Mus musculus: one gene and its partners. The protein of the gene in region 1 interacts with the protein of each later gene in a pairwise test. Links are inferred from orthologs where the notes say so. Each region holds a gene or a part of one and is shown in the gene's direction. Other genes may lie near its edges.

The links. The genes of interacting proteins can lie anywhere in the genome.
Region 2: the proteins of Trim21 (region 1) and Usp15 interact in binary tests that used the Homo sapiens proteins (3 or more experiments, as listed by UniProt). The link is inferred for Mus musculus from reciprocal best matches to the Homo sapiens genes TRIM21 and USP15.
Region 3: the proteins of Trim21 (region 1) and Grap interact in binary tests that used the Homo sapiens proteins (3 or more experiments, as listed by UniProt). The two-hybrid records come from large-scale screens. The link is inferred for Mus musculus from reciprocal best matches to the Homo sapiens genes TRIM21 and GRAP.

What each region holds. Positions count from the first base shown.
Region 1 is NC_000073.6:102,555,647-102,560,881, reverse strand, and holds the end of Trim21 (E3 ubiquitin-protein ligase TRIM21), read left to right. Parts: intron 1-266; coding exon 267-289; intron 290-813; coding exon 814-914; intron 915-1,218; coding exon 1,219-1,760; 3' UTR 1,761-2,962; downstream 2,963-5,235. UniProt on the Homo sapiens protein: E3 ubiquitin-protein ligase whose activity is dependent on E2 enzymes, UBE2D1, UBE2D2, UBE2E1 and UBE2E2.
Region 2 is NC_000076.6:123,129,777-123,135,979, reverse strand, and holds part of Usp15 (ubiquitin carboxyl-terminal hydrolase 15), read left to right. Parts: intron 1-2,850; coding exon 2,851-3,024; intron 3,025-4,569; coding exon 4,570-4,728; intron 4,729-4,814; coding exon 4,815-5,039; intron 5,040-6,203. UniProt on the Homo sapiens protein: Hydrolase that removes conjugated ubiquitin from target proteins and regulates various pathways such as the TGF-beta receptor signaling, NF-kappa-B and RNF41/NRDP1-PRKN pathways.
Region 3 is NC_000077.6:61,661,861-61,668,063, forward strand, and holds part of Grap (GRB2-related adapter protein), read left to right. Parts: intron 1-2,324; coding exon 2,325-2,447; intron 2,448-6,203. UniProt on the Homo sapiens protein: Couples signals from receptor and cytoplasmic tyrosine kinases to the Ras signaling pathway. Plays a role in the inner ear and in hearing.

The sequences.
Region 1 (5,235 bases):
CTCCATGGCCAGCCCCGCTCCTCCAAGAACCCAGCCCTTGTAAGTCTCTTTCTCTGTCAGTCTTTAAATCCCTGGTCATGGCTAAAGGCCATAACCACGTTGGCTTCCTAGATATTCTGTGAGCCATCACATGCCATTTCTGGTAACGGTTTGTCAGAGTTATCTTTGGGGCCTTACCCAAGGGCGATGTCACATGGCCCCAGGAATGGCATCTCAGTGGTCAGTCAGAAACTCCAGAGTTGACTGTCTGTCTCTTCTCTCCTCAGGAGGTGAGGATCATCCTGGAAAGGTAAGGAAAGGGACCAGGAAGCATGTGTGCATAGAAACCTGGTCCACTCTAAGACGTTCTCTGCTTTCAAATGGCTAATGAACATATCAAATGATGAATTGCCCGATGAATATCAATCATCTTTGTACATTAAAAGTCTCCCACCAGAAAGTGGTAATCTGAGTCTGCTAGAACTCTCCTACGGAAAGACATTCATAAGTAATGAGTAAAACCGACAGCATGGCCAAGAGTCCTCCAAGTTCTTCACAGAAGTCATTCCACCTGTTAGATGGTTTGCTGTAAAATTAAATAAAATCCACAAGGCCATGACTTTGGGCTCTGGAAAGAGATGGAGATTTATTTGAGATTCCTAGAACTTGGAACTCCTAGATAGGAACTTTTTTTTCCTTTCCTGTGGACATTGAATGCATGTGTATTTGTATATTGGTATTGAGTTTAATTATTGAGCCGTCCATGAAGGAGAGCACTGGGGCCTAAGGTAGAAGATAGGAGCAGGAAGTAAGATTCTCAAACTCTTTCCCTAGGAGTGGATCCTGGAACCTGGACACGTTAGATATTGACGCCCCAGACCTAACAAGCACATGCCCTGTGCCAGGGCGGAAGAAGATGCTGAGGACATGTTGGGGTAAGGCGACATCTAGGAATTGTGGGCTAGACAGAAAGGGATAATGAGAGTGTGGAGTGGACAGTCATGAGGAACCCAGGGTGGTAATGTGTGGAAGAGGTGGCAAGTGGTACAGGTGGAGCAGAAGACATAGATGAAGTTTCCTCACATGTCAGAGGAAGGGCAAGAGTAACTGTGGGTCATTTCCTCACATGATGAGATTCAGGGTCACCCCTCACCTTTGAGTTTAAATGGATCTCCTCACTCTAGGCAAAGAGCAGCTGGCCTCATGCATCCAGTCTTACTTATGATCTTCTTTCTGCAGTTCATATTACTCTGGATCGCAACACCGCCAACTCATGGCTCATCATCTCAAAGGATCGGAGACAAGTGAGGATGGGAGACACCCATCAGAACGTGTCTGACAATGAGGAGAGGTTTAGTAATTACCCCATGGTGCTAGGTGCCCAGAGATTCTCCTCTGGGAAGATGTACTGGGAGGTAGATGTGACTCAAAAGGAGGCCTGGGATCTGGGGGTTTGCAGAGATTCTGTTCAGAGGAAAGGGCAGTTTTCACTCAGTCCCGAGAATGGCTTCTGGACCATTTGGTTATGGCAAGACAGCTATGAGGCTGGTACCAGTCCTCAGACCACCCTCCACATTCAAGTACCTCCATGCCAAATTGGGATCTTTGTGGACTATGAGGCTGGCGTTGTCTCCTTCTACAACATAACTGACCATGGCTCCCTCATTTACACCTTCTCGGAGTGTGTTTTTGCTGGACCTCTGCGACCTTTCTTCAATGTTGGTTTCAATTATAGTGGGGGAAATGCAGCGCCTCTAAAGCTCTGTCCACTAAAGATGTGATGGTCAGGAGCCAGTGCCTACTGACGGTACTTCCCGGACACTTACCTCCTCCCTGTCCTGATCAAGATCCAGTGACTCCTGGGGACCATTTCTGGATACTGCTGCTCACTTCCTGTTGGTGTTCTTCAGCCATGCACTTGGTCATTTTGACCCATCTAGTTGGAACTACCCTAAACCCTCATCTCTTTAAAGGAGTCAGGGTCCCAGGATGAAGGTATCAGCTGGACATAACTGAAAGTCAATGTCAAATGACCTTCACCATCAATATACCTGACATAGATTCCGCAATGATTCCTCAATGAAACAGACTCCTCACATTGGACCCAAACTCATCTAAAAGACAAACAAACATTTCTGCCTTTATGTGACTTCCTTTGTTTTCTCTGTCCTTGGTTGTTACCTTTGGCTAGATACCTGTCTACTCCTATATCTTTTGTGGCTTGCAGAAGGACTTCCTAGAAATTGTGCTTGAACTATCCTGTTCAGTTATTATTGGTAAAATATATATATATATATATATATATATATATATATATGCATACATATGTCTTAACATTATACATCTTCTGGTTTGGTTTGTTGTTTTGTTGTTACTGGGGGATTTTAGGGTTTTATTGTTCGTTGTTTGTTTGTTTTCCCTCCCTGGAATGCTCTATGCACTTCTTCTGTAAACCCAGGTCAAGAATATCTTCTATGGGAACAAATGAAAGCCAGGATAAAGTAGTGAAAGTGGTTCAGACAAGAGCTGAATGTTACACTGACAGTATGCTCAGTATCCCCAGTGATAGCCAAAGTCTGGGTGCTGTGCTGGGTCTGGTCAGTGAACCCCTGCTGTTGACTCTCACAAGGCTACAACAGCTGTGCTCAGACACTGCCTGCTGTCATTTTGTGGATATGTTGGTTTCTGATTCCATTGCCTTGAAGAAAGTGAAATTAGTAGCTGAACTAGTATACAAATATTTTGAAAGCTTCAAAAATACTACCTGGAGATTTATGTTACATAGTTAATAAACCCCTTATTCTCCACTGAATGGAATTGGGAGGTTTCATACTATCTCAGCTTTCCCCCATAGCCAATAACAAATGGTCTGGATACAAGTGTCTTTGTTACATAAAAGTTACCTTGAGAAAGATCTCCAAGTATTGGTTCCAATTCTGAATAATATGTCTTTTAAGATCAAATAAAGCCTGTTGATTTTCCTGAGCTTCTTTCATTCTACCGCCACCTTTCAAATTAACAAACACAAAGAATTAAAGAAACATCTGTACTGGCTCAGGCCGGACAAAATTGCAGCAGAGAGAGAGATGGGCACAGAGTCCCTCCCCTGGCTAAAGAGCTTTGGGCAGTTGCTGGGAGAAGGAGAGTCAGCTTGCTTTCAGGGTATGGGCCCTCCCCCAGTGAAAGCCCCATCTTCAGGAGTGTATAGGCAGCATAAACAGTGCCTGGTGGGTTACTTCTTTTTTTTTTTTTTTTTTTTAGGTATTTTCCTCGTTTACATTTTCAATGCTATCCCAAAGGTCCCCCATACCCACCCCCCCAATCCCCTACCCACCCACTCCCCCTTTTTGGTCCTGGTGTTCCCCTGTACTGGGGCATATAAAGTTTGCAAGTCCAATGGGCCTCTCTTTGCAGTGATGGCCGACTAGGCCATCTTTTGATACATATGCAGCTAAAGACAAGAGCTCCCGGGTACTGGTTAGTTCATATTGTTGTTCCACCTATAGGGTTGCAGTTCCCTTTAGCTCCTTGGGTAATTTCTCTAGCTCCTCCATTAGGGGCCGTGTGACCCATTCAATAGCTGACTGTGGTCATCCACTTCTGTGTTTGCTAGGCCCCGGCATAGTCTCACAAGAGAGAGCTATATCTGGGTCCTTTCAGCGAAATCTTGCTAGTGTATGCAATGGTGTCAGTGTTTGGGAGCTGATTATGGGATAGATCCCTGCATATGGCAATCACTAGATGGTCCATCCTTTCGTCACAGCTCCAAATTTTGTCTCTGTAACTCCTTCCATGGGTGTTTTGTTCCCATTTCTAAGAAAGGGTAAAGTGTCCACACTTTGGTCTTCGTTCTTCTTGGATTTCATGCGTTTGGCAAGTTGTATCTTATATCTTGGGTATCCTAAGTTTCTGGGCTAATATCCACTTATCAGTGAGTACATATTGTGCGAGTTCCTTTGTGATTGGATTACTTCACTCAGGATGATACCCTCCAGGTCCATCCATTTGCCTAGGAATTTCATAAATTCATTTTTTTAATAGCTGAGTAGTACTCCATTGTGTAAATGTACCACATTTTCTGTATCCATTCCTCTGTTGAGGGGCATCTGGGTTCTTTCCAGCTTCTGGATATTATAAACAAGGCTGCTATGAACATAGTGGAGCATGTGTTCTTCTTACCGGTTGGGACATCTTCTGGATATATGCCCAGGAGAGGTATTGCTGGATCCTCCGGTAGTACTATGTCCAATTTTCTGAGGAACCGCCAGACTGATTTCCAGAGTGGTTATACAAGCTTGCAATCCCACCAACAATGGAGGAGTGTTCCCCTTTCTCCACATCCTCGCCAGCATCTGCTGTCACCTGAGTTTTTGATCTTAGCCATTCTGACTGGAGTGAAGTGGAATCTCAGTGTTGTTTTGATTTGCATTTCCCTGATGATTAAGGATGTTGAACATTTTTTCAGGTGCTTCTCTGCCATTCAGTATTCCTCAGGTGAGAATTCTTTGTTCAGCTCTGAGCCCCATTTTTTAATGGGGTTATTTGATTTTCTGGAGTCCACCTTCTTGAGTTCTTTATATATATTGGATATTAGTCCCCTATCCGATTTGGGATAGGTAAAGATCCTTTCCCAATCTGTTGGTGGCCTTTTTGTCTTATTGACGGTGTCTTTTGCTTTGCAGAAGCTTTGCAATTTTATGAGGTCCCATTTATCGATTCTTGATCTTACAGCACAAGCCATTGCTGTTCTATTCAGGAATTTTTCCCCTGTACCCATATCTTCGAGGCTTTTCCCTACTTTCTCCTCTATAAGTTTCAGTGTCTCTGGTTTTATGTGGAGTTCCTTAATCTTCTAAAGAGGAGGAGTGGAGAGGAGGAGGAGGAGGAACAATACAAAGTAGGGTAGGAAAGAGCATGGATTTGGGACATGAGGCGTGTAGATATGATCAAAATACATAGAAATTCTCAAATTTAAAATGAGATTAGAAAGGAAGTATTGTATCAAAATTTCGAAGACACTAAGAAAAAGATTTTTAAAATGTACCTATAATTTATTTTGCATTATATGTAACAAACTTCCTGTGTATAGGTCAGTCATGCTGTAGCTAATGATAGACCTACAGTCAGAGCACAATTAAGAAGTATGAAGATTATGGCAAGCCTCCATATGTGACTCAAACTAAACTGATGTTTTGACAATAAACATTTATTAAGCTGTAATGTTCAATGAATAATGGTTTAATTCAGTTCTTAATT
Region 2 (6,203 bases), on another chromosome or scaffold:
GGCGACGGGCAGCACAAGGGGATTGGCAAGGGGCAAGGGTGAATAAAGAGGCTCGTCTAAGGGCTGAGCCAGTATGAATGCAGGGCTTTATTAAAGGCTTTATAGCAAGGCATTTACATGGTTACAAGCATATTTAAAAGATCACTGGGTATGAATAGAGAGTTAATTTTTCTTCAGTTATATTTGGAAGGTCTTACAAGTCAAGGACTTATAGCACATGAATAATTAAGCAAAAGTGAAGTTCAGAATTTTTTCATGTTTGTAACACTTGGGTTTTTTTAGCTATTTGTAAAGCCATAAATTTGGTGGTTTGTACATGTGTAGTAATAGACTTTAGTGGGATAAATTTGGTGGTTTGTATATGTGTAGTAATAGACTTTAGTGGGATAAATTTGGTGGTTTGTACGTGTGTAGTAATAGACTTTAGTGGGATAAATTTGGTGGTTTGTACGTGTGTAGTAATAGACTTTAGTGGGATAAATTTGGTGGTTTGTACGTGTGTAGTAATAGACTTTAGTGGGATAAATTTGGTGGTTTGTATGTGTGTAGTAATAGACTTTAGTGGGATAAATTTGGTGGTTTGTACATGTGTAGTAATAGACTTTAGTGGGATAAATTTGGTAGTTTGTACGTGTGTAGTAATAGACTTTAGTGGGATAAATTTGGTGGTTTGTATATGTGTAGTAATAGACTTTAGTGGGATGCTGCATTAATATAACCCTGACCACACCACAGAATGAGGATTTGCAAACTAAGTGCTAACTGTCAGACACTACTGTGACTGGCCCCTTTGCCCAATGTCTTCTTACCGTTGATCCTGCTTGTGGCAGATCAGCATACTTCTGCTAAGCAATGGCAGCTGTGATGTGGTGTATCCATGTGGCCTGTCCTCCTCTAGTGCTGGGATTGTAGTAAAAGTGAAGTGCAATACACAAGGAGAGAATGAGACTCAGGTGGGACATGAGGACCTGGGGAGAAGCATAGGAAGTGTCCTTCCCTTAATCACCATCCCCGTTATCTCCCCACTGCCCGATGCGTAGCTTTTCACACAAAGACAGAGTCTATAGTGGAAGCAAATGTAAACGACTCGGAAGCTCTGCAGCGCGCAGCCTGAGTCATAGAGTATCTGTGAGACCTCATGCCACGGCCCTGTAAAGCCAGCTGCTCTAGGGACTGAGGAAAGGAAAGTAAAAGTTCATGCGCTGTTTGTGATGCAGAGTGAGCTCAAGGCCAGCCTGGGCAACTTAAAATCTTGTCTCAGAATCAGAAGTACAGTAAGAGGTTGGGAGCGGGGATGTTGGGAACTCAGAGTGACTGGTTCCTCTCTGCCAGCCGAGGGCACCTCAGGCGAGCATTGGAGAGTCAGAACAGTACATTCCGTGATACAAGTTCCACGTTCATCCTGAGGGATGGGGTGCAACTCAATTTAGACAACATCCAAACTGTGGCGGTATTAGGACGAGTCAGTAAACATACGAGTCAGTAAATATATAATTGAGGCCAAAAAAATGAGTAGCATAAGATACTTGAAAGAAGTAAATAAAAGTAAAATATGCTTGTTTTGGCCAGACTATGTAATATAGTCATAATTTACATTACCTGTATAAACACCCAGCAAGCTGGGCTTTACATAGCTATGAAGCCTATTTAACTTCATGCAACATGGTGGCATGCCAGCTCTCAAAAACTTTGATTTCCATGAATATTAATTGAGACTCAACAAAATGGATCTTTAAAACTTTACGTACAGGCAACTGATTTCTCATACAGCACTTTTTCACTGTCTCCAAGGCATTATTTATATTGGCTGTTGATGTGACTTACCTGAGTGTACACGTGTGTGAGGCATTGCATATCTGAAACCTCGTTCGTAAAGCAGCATGGTCTCCCTCTAGGGAATCATAAGGCAGCATCGACCTCACCTTATCCAAATCATTTTGAAATAAAATATTGTGGAAAAATATATTTCTACCATCTTTGAAATTTTTTATTAGGAATTTATTCAAAAAGGATTGGATTAAAACTTTGCAGTTTTTCATAAATGAAAATTAAATTGTTATTGTATTAAGAGTTTTGAAAGAACATATCCAGAGTTTGCCTAAAGTTGGTTTTGGTAGGCTTTCCTGGTCAGTTCTATGCTTTCTAATCACCACTACCAGCTGAATGACAGGCTTAAAAACCGCACCTTTATGATAAGGCGCTGGCTGCAGAAGTAGTAAGTACTGTCGTCGTGATGGTATCCGTGAGCTGTTGGTATCGAAATCCACAAGCGCCGTATATTAGGAGGCTTATGGTCATCACGTAAGTCATCTTTAGATTGCTTATAATACCTTTATGTTGTCCTGACTGAAGTACAATGACCAAAAAACATTTTGTTCAGTATGAATGCATTTTTTTTCCAAATTATTTTTCTATCTGCAATTGATTTGAGTCCATGGATACCATAAACCATCTGTACCTCTTTTAAGTTGTTTTGTTTTGTTTTTTCCTTGCACACCATCTCGGTTTTTACCTACCCAGGCTACTTTACAGTGCCTGGGGTGCTTAGACAGTCCATAGTTTCTGCCCATCAAGTCAAGGAAACGCTGAGCTTCACCCCCAGTTAACAGGTAGTTTGTTGTGATTAAAATTATGCAGATTTTGCAGCAACAAGTATTGGTGGCTTTGTTTGTTGTAGTGACTGACTGGAAGTTTGGGAAGTGAGTGCTCAGAAAGCCTGACTGGCATGTTAACTGTTACTCGGCACAAGGAACCGTTTCTACTGCTCTGTGTGAATTGACTTGCTTCTCTCGTCATTTTAACAGTTTAAGTGTGCATATTTTACTTCAAAATATTTTTTGTTCCTTTCAGTGTTTGAGCAACACACCTCCACTTACTGAATATTTCCTCAATGATAAGTACCAAGAAGAGCTGAATTTTGACAATCCCTTAGGAATGAGAGGTGAAATAGCTAAATCATACGCTGAACTCATCAAGCAGATGTGGTCTGGAAAGTTTAGCTACGTCACTCCAAGAGCATTCAAGGTTAGTGTGGTAAACTTATTCTCAGCTAGTGTGCTTTTGTCTCCAGAGGATCAACACAACAACAGACTCCTCAGTTGAGAGCTGAGAGTCCCATCGCATTGTCTCCTGGCCTCACAAAGACAGAGACATGGCATTCAGCAAATTTTGCAGCAACAAGTATTGGTGGCTTTGTTTGTTAGTAGTAACTGACTGAAAGTTTGGGAAGTGAGTGACCTGAAAGCCTCGCTTAAGTGTTAACTGTTACTCAGCACAAGGAACCATTTATATTTCTCCTGATTAGGGGTTTTTATTTGGTTTTTGTTTTCTTAATGTCTAGAAATGGGTTGGAGAGGAATGGCTTAGAGTTAAGAGCAATTGCTACACTCCCAGAGGACTAACATGAGGTGGCTCAGAAATGCCTGTGTAACTCACACTGGAGAAGGTCTGACCCCATGGTGTTTGCATTCACGTGTGCGCACATGCTCAGACACGCACAGTTACACTGATGAGGTTCAGAAGGGTCAAGGCTATCTCTGGAAACACTACATGAATGTTTTAAGCTTCACTGGGACATGCCATTAAGTTTATCCTGTGGTTATTGTAGACTGTAAAAAAAAACAAAATCAGAATGAAACGAATTTACAAAACAACTGTCAAATAGTCACTGATTGTATTTTCGATCTGGTTTTTACGCTTGGGTGTTTGTATGTATGAGGGAGTTACTTAGGTCTTAGCCTTAGGGAGAAGTTATTATAAGCCATGGTCTTCACAGGTAAGTGGCATTCCTAGATCATCTGCTAAGGAATATTTTGTTAATCATCTAGCTGTTCCTAAAAAATGAATCAGCGCTGAAGAGATGGCTGTGCTAAGGTTAAGAGCGCTGGCTACTTTTCCAGGGGAGCCGGGCTCAGTTCCCAGCATTTGCATGGTAGCTACCTACCTACCTATGTCTGTAACTCCAGTTCAAGTGGACACCGTATGCAAATGCTGCAAAGACACTGCAGGCAGAACACCAGTTTTCATTCTTCCTAAGTTATTTCCATAAAGGGAAATGAACAGATGAACAAATACAGAAGCACATTCTAGGGAAGGGCAAGATTCGAGTCCCTCGAGCCTTGTCACATTGTCATCAGTCACTGACTCGGGGTTTAGTGTATGGGTAACATGCTAATCCTGACTTCACAACCAACCCTATATATAACTCACTGCTTAACAAGATGCATCTAATTGTATTTTCCCTGTAAAGTACATGACTACCCCTGTGTTTATGAATTCTAGATGACACCTTAGCGCTCTGCGTGAGAACGGTTTCAAGCACTAGCTAGCCTGGCAGGAAACCACCCACGTATAAAGAAGAAAACACTAAGAAAATGACAAAACGATGCTGAAACTTCAAGGCAGTATAGCTCGCTCACGTTCTTCCCAGAGGGTTTACTGGAACACTTTGAGATGGTTTCAGTGTATCACAGCTTGGGGGCATAGAAGTAATTTATAGTAAACTGAGAGCAAGCATGTGCTTTTTCAGGAGCCTGTCTCTAGCCGGTTGTGTGACTTTGTGTCTTACAGACACAGGTAGGGCGCTTCGCACCTCAGTTCTCTGGATATCAACAGCAGGACTGCCAAGAACTACTGGCTTTCCTGTTGGATGGACTGCACGAGGACCTGAATAGAATTAGGAAAAAACCCTATATCCAGTTAAAAGATGCTGATGGCAGGCCAGACAAGGTAAATGAATGAGCGTTCTGGCGTTAGTGTCTTCATCGTTACAGTCTTCTGACACCTCGTAGTAACTCTGTTCCTTTCCTCTGTAGGTGGTTGCTGAAGAAGCCTGGGAGAACCATTTAAAGCGAAATGATTCCATCATAGTAGACATATTCCATGGCCTTTTCAAGTCTACGTTAGTGTGTCCTGAGTGTGCTAAGATCTCGGTGACCTTTGACCCTTTCTGTTACTTGACTCTTCCATTGCCTATGAAAAAAGAACGTAGCTTGGAAGTTTATTTAGTTAGAATGGATCCACTTGCTAAACCTATGCAAGTAAGTAATGACTCCTTTCTTTACATTTGGTATTGTAACTTCTTGATGGGACGATTTTAACATTTATTGGTTTCTCCAGCACTAATAAAATGTATTAGATAATAGATTTTATAAGCTAAATACTCTGGAAGTTGCACCTGTTTAGAATTTGAGAAGTTAAAGGATATCATAGAAAAATAAATTTAATCAAATTTCTTTGTCACATCAAAGACAGCTAAGATATTTGTTTTATAATTTGGGATGGATAGCCGCTTTAAAAAAAATAGTAGTATTATTGTCTATATTTTTTTCTATCAATAAATTTTAAGTGTATTTATTTTATATGTTATGGGTATTTTGCCTGTATATTGCTCTGTACCATGAGTACCATGAGTTTTTGGATCCCCTGGGCCTGGAGTATTAGATGGCTGTGTGCTCCCACGTGCGTGCTGAGAGTGGCTCCTGGCTCTTGAGGAGGAGCGGCCAGTGCTCGTAACCACTGAATCGTCTTCTAGTCCTCCCCTAGTCAAATTCTTTATGCTGTAGGTTTTTTCCTGGTCACTTTCAAAAGTAAAGCTACTGTTGTATTTTGCTTATGTGTTTATTGTTGTCTATGTATGTGTCTGTTATGTATTTATTATCTATTATATTTATTGTAAGTCATGATATGATCATACAGAAGTGGAAATAACCTTCAGGCATTCCAAAATTTTGATGAGAAATAAAAAATTGGTATAAAAATACTTGGTTCAGGACCGGCAGGATTCCTCAGTGAGGTAAAGGCAGTCGCTGCCAAACCTGACAGGCTTGAGCTCAGTCGCTCACTCACGGGCGGTAGGAGAGAACCTGCTCCCACAGTTCCACTCTGACTCCCGCACTTGTGGCGTCGCATGCACGTAGGCACGGTTAGCAAACCTTACGAGTGAGCGCTTGTTCGGTGGTTGTTCTGGCCTTTAGTATTAGGCTTTGCTTATTCTGTGCAAGGTCCCTGTGCTGCACGTTAATGTCAGCTGATGCCTGATGCCTTTGCCGTGTGCTGTCACTGGCTTCCTCAGTGTTTTGTGAGAAAAAAGCTACATTTTCTGTTTCTAAATCAGTTATTCCTTCACATGTGACCCCTTCTAGTGACAGCGCCTCCTTTGCTCCGCTAAACTCTGTTACAGCACCTCAAAGATTTTCGTTTCG
Region 3 (6,203 bases), on another chromosome or scaffold:
GTCAGAAACAGGCCCAGGGATGTGTGGGAGGTGGGGTATGCATCATGTTACGAAAGTGGGAGGTAGAAACACCTTCAGCTGTTACTATAGCTGCCCACTGCCTGCCTAGGTGGGAACTATTAACATCATCTTATAGGCTGGGCGGCGGTGGCACACACCTTTAATCCCAACCCTTGGTAGGTAGAGGCAGATGGATGTCTTGAGTTTGAGGCCAGCCCAGTTTACAGAGCAAATTCTAGGACAGCCAAGGCTACACAGAGAAATCCTGTCTCAGAAACAAACGAACGAACGAACAAACAAACAATGACAAACCCATCCATCACCTTATAGACCAGCAGAGACACAGAGAGACTGGGTGCCTTGTCCAGGATCACTTAGCCTGCAAGAAGTAGACTGGGATTGCAGCTGGTGGTGGAGGCCCTTCATGAGCCACCAGAGAGGGACAGAAAGTCCATGAGAGCAGCTGTGTGGGGGTGAACCTCAGACTCCCTAAGCAGCTTCTCGGGAGACCTCGGTCCTCCCTGGGTTTCAGTTTCCACCCCAGTACAAGAAGCAACATAGTAGAGTCAAAGATGGAGTGGTGAGAACTGAGATTTAGAACTTCCTTCAACTGCCCTTCAAGCAGGTGAACCCTTCCTCCGTAACTCACGGCCTATTAGACCAATCCCCCCATGACCCTGTCACCCAGTGTTCCCACTTCTCGCCTCTGCTGTAGAGACTGTATTAGGGTTCTCTCTCACACTCTCTCTCATTTCTCTCTCCTCTCTCGCTCTCCCTCTCCATCTCTTCCAGTTAATCTAACAATGGCTGGCTATGACCAGAAAGTCCAAGAATCCAGTAGTTGCTCAGTCCACAAAGCTGGATGTCTCAGCTGATTCAGGACACACTGGAATCCTGCAGAAGCAGGCTCTGATGCCAATCAATGAAGGAATGGACTTGCTAGCAAGTCAATGGCAAGCAGGCAGAGAGCCAAGCCATCTTCCTCCATATCTTTATATAGGCTTTCCGTAGGTGTGGCCCAGATTAGAGGTCGGGTTACCCTAGTTCCAAAGACCTGGATTAAAAGTCTTCCTGCCTCAGAGATTCAGATCAGAAGTAGATCTTTCCACTTTGGATTAAGCAAAGCTCTCTCACAAGTATGCCCTCTACTTGGGGGCTTTAGTTAATTCCAGATGTAGTCAAGTTGACAACCAAAAATAGCCACCACTGAGACCAAGTTCCAATGTAGATTTTGGAGCTATGTCCAGGCATGGCAGGCAGCCTCCCGTTCCTGGGGACCCCACCACCACCACCTCCCAAAGAATCCTTCTAGGCCCAGCGCTCTAGCCTAGGACTCAATACAATGCCCTGGGGTCAGTAAGCGAGCGGCTGGCTGGAAAGGGCCTTGAGGCCTCGCTGCAGAAGCTGGCTAGCCCAGCAGACAGGAAGGACCCCAGGAGAGGCTGCTCTGGCCTTGCAAGAGTCCCAAGACCTAGCGGGTGCAGTTCTGTTCCAAGTCTGCTCCTACTCGGGAGGGACACAAGGCAGGGAGGGAGGCCACTATTATTGATGTCACCCATACTTATTTGTGGTGCCGAGGACGAACGTGGAGTGTCGCACTCGCTAGGCTAGCACTCCACTGACTCACATCCTAGCACAATTTTACGCTTTTTTAACTTTTAAAAATCTGTACTGGGCTAGTGAGACGGCTCAGTGATTAAAGGCACTTCTCACCAAGCCCAGTGACTTGATTTCAGTGCCCAGGATGTGAATGGTGGAAGGGGAGAACTGACTGGTTATCCTCTGGTCTACATATATGTAGTATGTACATTCCTGAACATGTATGCGCCCACACAGAAATAAATAGTTTTGAGAGTGCATACTGCTCTTGCAGGGGATCCATGTCTGGTTCCTAGCACCTACATCTGGCAGCTCACAACCACCTGTAACTCCCTCTCTGGGAGACCTGACACCCTCTTCTGGACTCACATACACATACCCCACCCCTTATATATAATACATATAATTTAAAACAATAATGAAAATGAATATTAAAAAAGAAAGATAATCTCCATCTACAAGCCAGACAGGCGTGCCGGCTGGTGAAGCACCTGACTCTGGTTTTTCTGTCTTGGGTGTGGGTTTGCCTGGCCTGGTACGGACAGCAGGGACAGATTGCCTCAACTCTGATTTGCCTCTCCTATGTGACCTTGATTTTTTTTTCCCTATTTCTCAATTTCCTCGAGTGTAAAATGGTCACAGTGATACCTTTGAAGAGGGAATGAGGGCCAGCCCTGCCATCGACCTTACGGATACCTCCAGACACGGTCCCCCTCTCCCCACAGGTGGTACTCGGGCAGGATCTCTCGACAGCTGGCTGAAGAGACTCTGATGAAACGCAACCACCTAGGAGCCTTCCTGATCAGGGAGAGTGAGAGTTCCCCTGGCGAGTTCTCCGTCTCTGTGAAGTGAGCTCCAGGGCGGAGTGGGTGGGAGCAGGGGGGTGGGGCAGGCCTGGCAGAGCCACTGGCTGGGTAAAGGGCTCAGCAAGCAAGTGTGGAGGTTTCTTGGTTAGAGAGTAGGGGAGGATGCCCAATGAGGCCCTAGGCTGGTGACCAGAAAGTTCTGCCAACAGGGTCCCACTTGATGACAATGTTGTCTGTGTTGAGAGCACAGACTCTGAGGCCAGGTACTTCTAATTCTGATGTTGTCACTTTGTGGCTGTGTGGCACAGGACCAGTTACTTAACCCTGCTGAGCCTGTTTCCACACAGATAAAATAGGTCATTGGAAGAATGAGTCAGTCGACCTAAAGCAGAAGGCTGTATTAACTTCATAAGGAGAAACTCACACCTTATAAGATAGCGCCTGGCAACAAGAGCCAAAGCAGGGGTGCTGGACTGGGGACTGTGCGGTGGCTTACTAGGATGAACACGGTGGCTCCTCAGTCTGGCAAAGCAGAAGGGGCTGAGGGCAGCAGAGTCACACTCAGAGAGAGGGGGACCATAGGGCAGAGGACTGGTACACAGCTTGGGCTTTCTCTCAGAGCAGCAGGAAGTCACGAGGGGTATGAGGGGTACGGAAGGGGATGATGAAGTTCCATCCATAGCAGCCCCCCCCTGCTGGCTGTGAGGAGGAGGAGGGACTTTTGGGGGGAGGTAACACGAAGCAGGAGGAAGAGAGTGGGGTCAGGGCCTGGTGGCATGGCTTAGGACTCTGTCTCCTGATTGTGTCTGGAGTAGTGGAATTCGACATGCTACTGTGCTAAAGGGACAGAGGAAGGTGTGGCCTGCCTATGGCTCTTCAAGAATGCTTGCTCCCAGGCCACACTTGACCTTTGGTCAGTGGCTTTCCACAACAGCATACTGAGGATCAGGGCAATGTGTGAAGACCCTGCAGCTCCTGTGGACTGCCGTCCTTCCTCTCCGTTCTGATTGCCCGTGGAGCTATAAGACCCACACCAGGCTGGGGCTACTGCTCTAAGGCCACAGCCCGATGCATCATCATGTGTTCTGTCTCCTGCAGCTGCTTAGCAGCCACCGTAACCATGCAGCAGCCATTGGCTACTCCACGAGGGTCCCCCACACCTTCTCCAGCTTCCTTGCCTATCTGGTACCATATGTACAGGAAGGTTCTCTACCCGAGTCTGGCCTGGACATCCCTTAACTCCCTACAGGTCACAGCAGAAAGTGACTCCTAGGGATGACACCACCAGGAGGATAGCCCAGCCTTAGTAACTCCTGGAAGCTTCCCAAAGACCCAAGGTCACCTAGCCAAACAGGGGCACCCGGCACAGATCAGGCCCAGAGTAGGAGCAGAGAGGAACCTGTCCCGTCCCACTCCTCTTGAGCTCCCCACAGACCCAGGCTGCCTTGGCAGCCCTTAGAGGGTGGTCCTGGCTAGCCACCCTGGGACAGGGGCAGAAGGGCAGAAGTATGGGATACACATAGACCCAGAAGTTCCACCATGAGCAGGTGCGGAAGGAAGTCCACAGAGGACACACTCCGAGACGAGACGGGGCAGCAGAGTCCAGCCTTAAGCATGTGTGGGAGCTCTGCTGGGGTCTGAGGGGTGCCAGGCACGGGAAACAGTGTGCGTCAAGATCTGATCAGAGGTCGTACAGTGAGGTCTGTTTGGATGTTAACAAGCCTGACCAGAAGGGGAGATGGCAGTGTGCTGGAATAGGTTTTCAGTAGGCAAGCTCAGCCAACGCACGATGCGTAAAGAAACCCTGGCACACACCCACCAGTCCCTTCTCAAGAAGTCCTAGAGCACCCACCCACATTAGGCCTGGCTGGCCAGAGCTTCCCCAGCTCAGCCCTGCGATTGCACTTAGGGCCACCAGGTGGCCATCTCCACCCTTGCTTCCTCCTAGGCTGGGCCAGAGATCTTGAAACTGACTCCCAAAATGGGAGTCCCAGCTCCCACCCCCCCTAGCCTTGAAATCCAGGCACGTTATCCTGGGAACCTCAGCTTCTCTATCCATGAAGTAGGCATTGATACGAACTGAGCTGTGATCTGGATGCACACTGCGGCCCAAGGTGGACCTGAAGGGGAGCCCCCTGTTCAGAGGCCACTTCTGGCCCCATTGCTCTTGCCTAGGGCTCTCTGGAAGACATATTGGTTGGGGACATATTGGTAGTCTCCTCCTGTCTTTGCTTGGGACTAATGTATGACTTCAGTCAGGTTCTGGTCCTGTCTTGGTGGTCATCCCTCACCTGTGATGATGAGGTCAACCTGACAACCCTCCACCCTCCCTGGCATGAGTCTCCCACAAGTTCATGCCAAGAACCACAAAGTTGTCACAGGTAGTTTTATGCACCTTGGGTGCTGAACAGTGCCAGTAGCCACAGCCAGTTCATTGAGCAGCTTTCAGAGAGGTGACCCCCTTGAGCCCATTGGCTGGTACCTGTCTGCCTAACTTTCCCTTCATATTTCTATCCAGGCCCCTGAGACCCTTCTCTCATGGCTGATGGGAGATAGATCTCAATTAAAGTGTCTTGCTTCCTTTCTGGCCATGAGTGCCTTGGAGTTATAGCACACACTTGTCTATACCACCAAACTGGTACTTTGGAGCTAGCACACACTTGTCTATACCATCAGAACGGTGCCACACGGAGCACCCACTGTGACCCAGGTCCTGTCCCTGGGAGCACCACAGAATAGGACAAAGGTCCTTGTTCCCTGTGTGCTGCTCCAGTGATGAAAAGCACAGGTTTAGCAAATAATGGGGGCTGGGGAATATGAGCAGGGCTGGGCTGCCAGATCCCAGTGTGCAGGTAAGGAAACCAACACTCTGAGTGGCGAGAAATTTGCTAGTGAGCTCAAGTGTCCTAGTGAACCATTTTCTGAGAGGCAGAAACCTGGCAGGGAACTATCTCCCCATCGCCCAGGGCCTTCCGAGGTCATCCCTGTTCTCCCTGTGTGCTGCAGGGCCAACTTTGCTCTCCTTTTGTTCCCCAGTGGACAGAGCGGTGAGCGCCTAGATCTGGCCCATGTAAGCCTCAGCTGGGAAAATGGGAGCATGGGCTCCTGCCCACCCAACCTTGGCTCCCCTCTCAGATGCTGCTGCTGCCACTAGGCAGGAAAAACTTGCTGAGCGAGACTGGCCTGACTAAGACCTTGAGTTTTCTGATGCAGGGACCAGGCATAGCACAGTGGGGGTTGGGGTCGGGGTCACAAAGTACTGCCCAGCAAGGGATATTCGCCATAGAGATGGGAATAGGTAAAAAGACACATACTAGGACATACTGCAGACACCAGGAGTCCAGTCCATGCTGCCTCTTTTCCAGAATTCAGCTCTTGGGTTTAGGGACAGGGTGGAGTACTGATGAGCAGTGTGGGATGGTGACATAGAGGCCCCTTCCCAGACAGCCTAGCCTTCCTTAGCTGGGAAACAGGGGCAGCTATGGGCAAGTGGCAGAAAGGACAAGACAAGCCACATACAGCCATGACTATTACACTGCCCAGCCTGAAGATTTCCCAGCTGACAGGTTGGAAAGTTCTAGAACTCCTGGCCCCATGCCCTGTCCCCCAGTTCTCCCATGGGATCCAAGAACATTCCCCTGCAAAACTCTCCAAGCCCCAGGCTCTGAGCTGCTTATGGAGAAACAAGAATTTAGGAGTCCGGAGCCGGCCCTGCCCCACCCCATCCTGCCTTTCGCTGAACTCTTAGCCACACTCACCCTGCTGCTCATAATGACCCCTCCCCGCACAGCTACACCT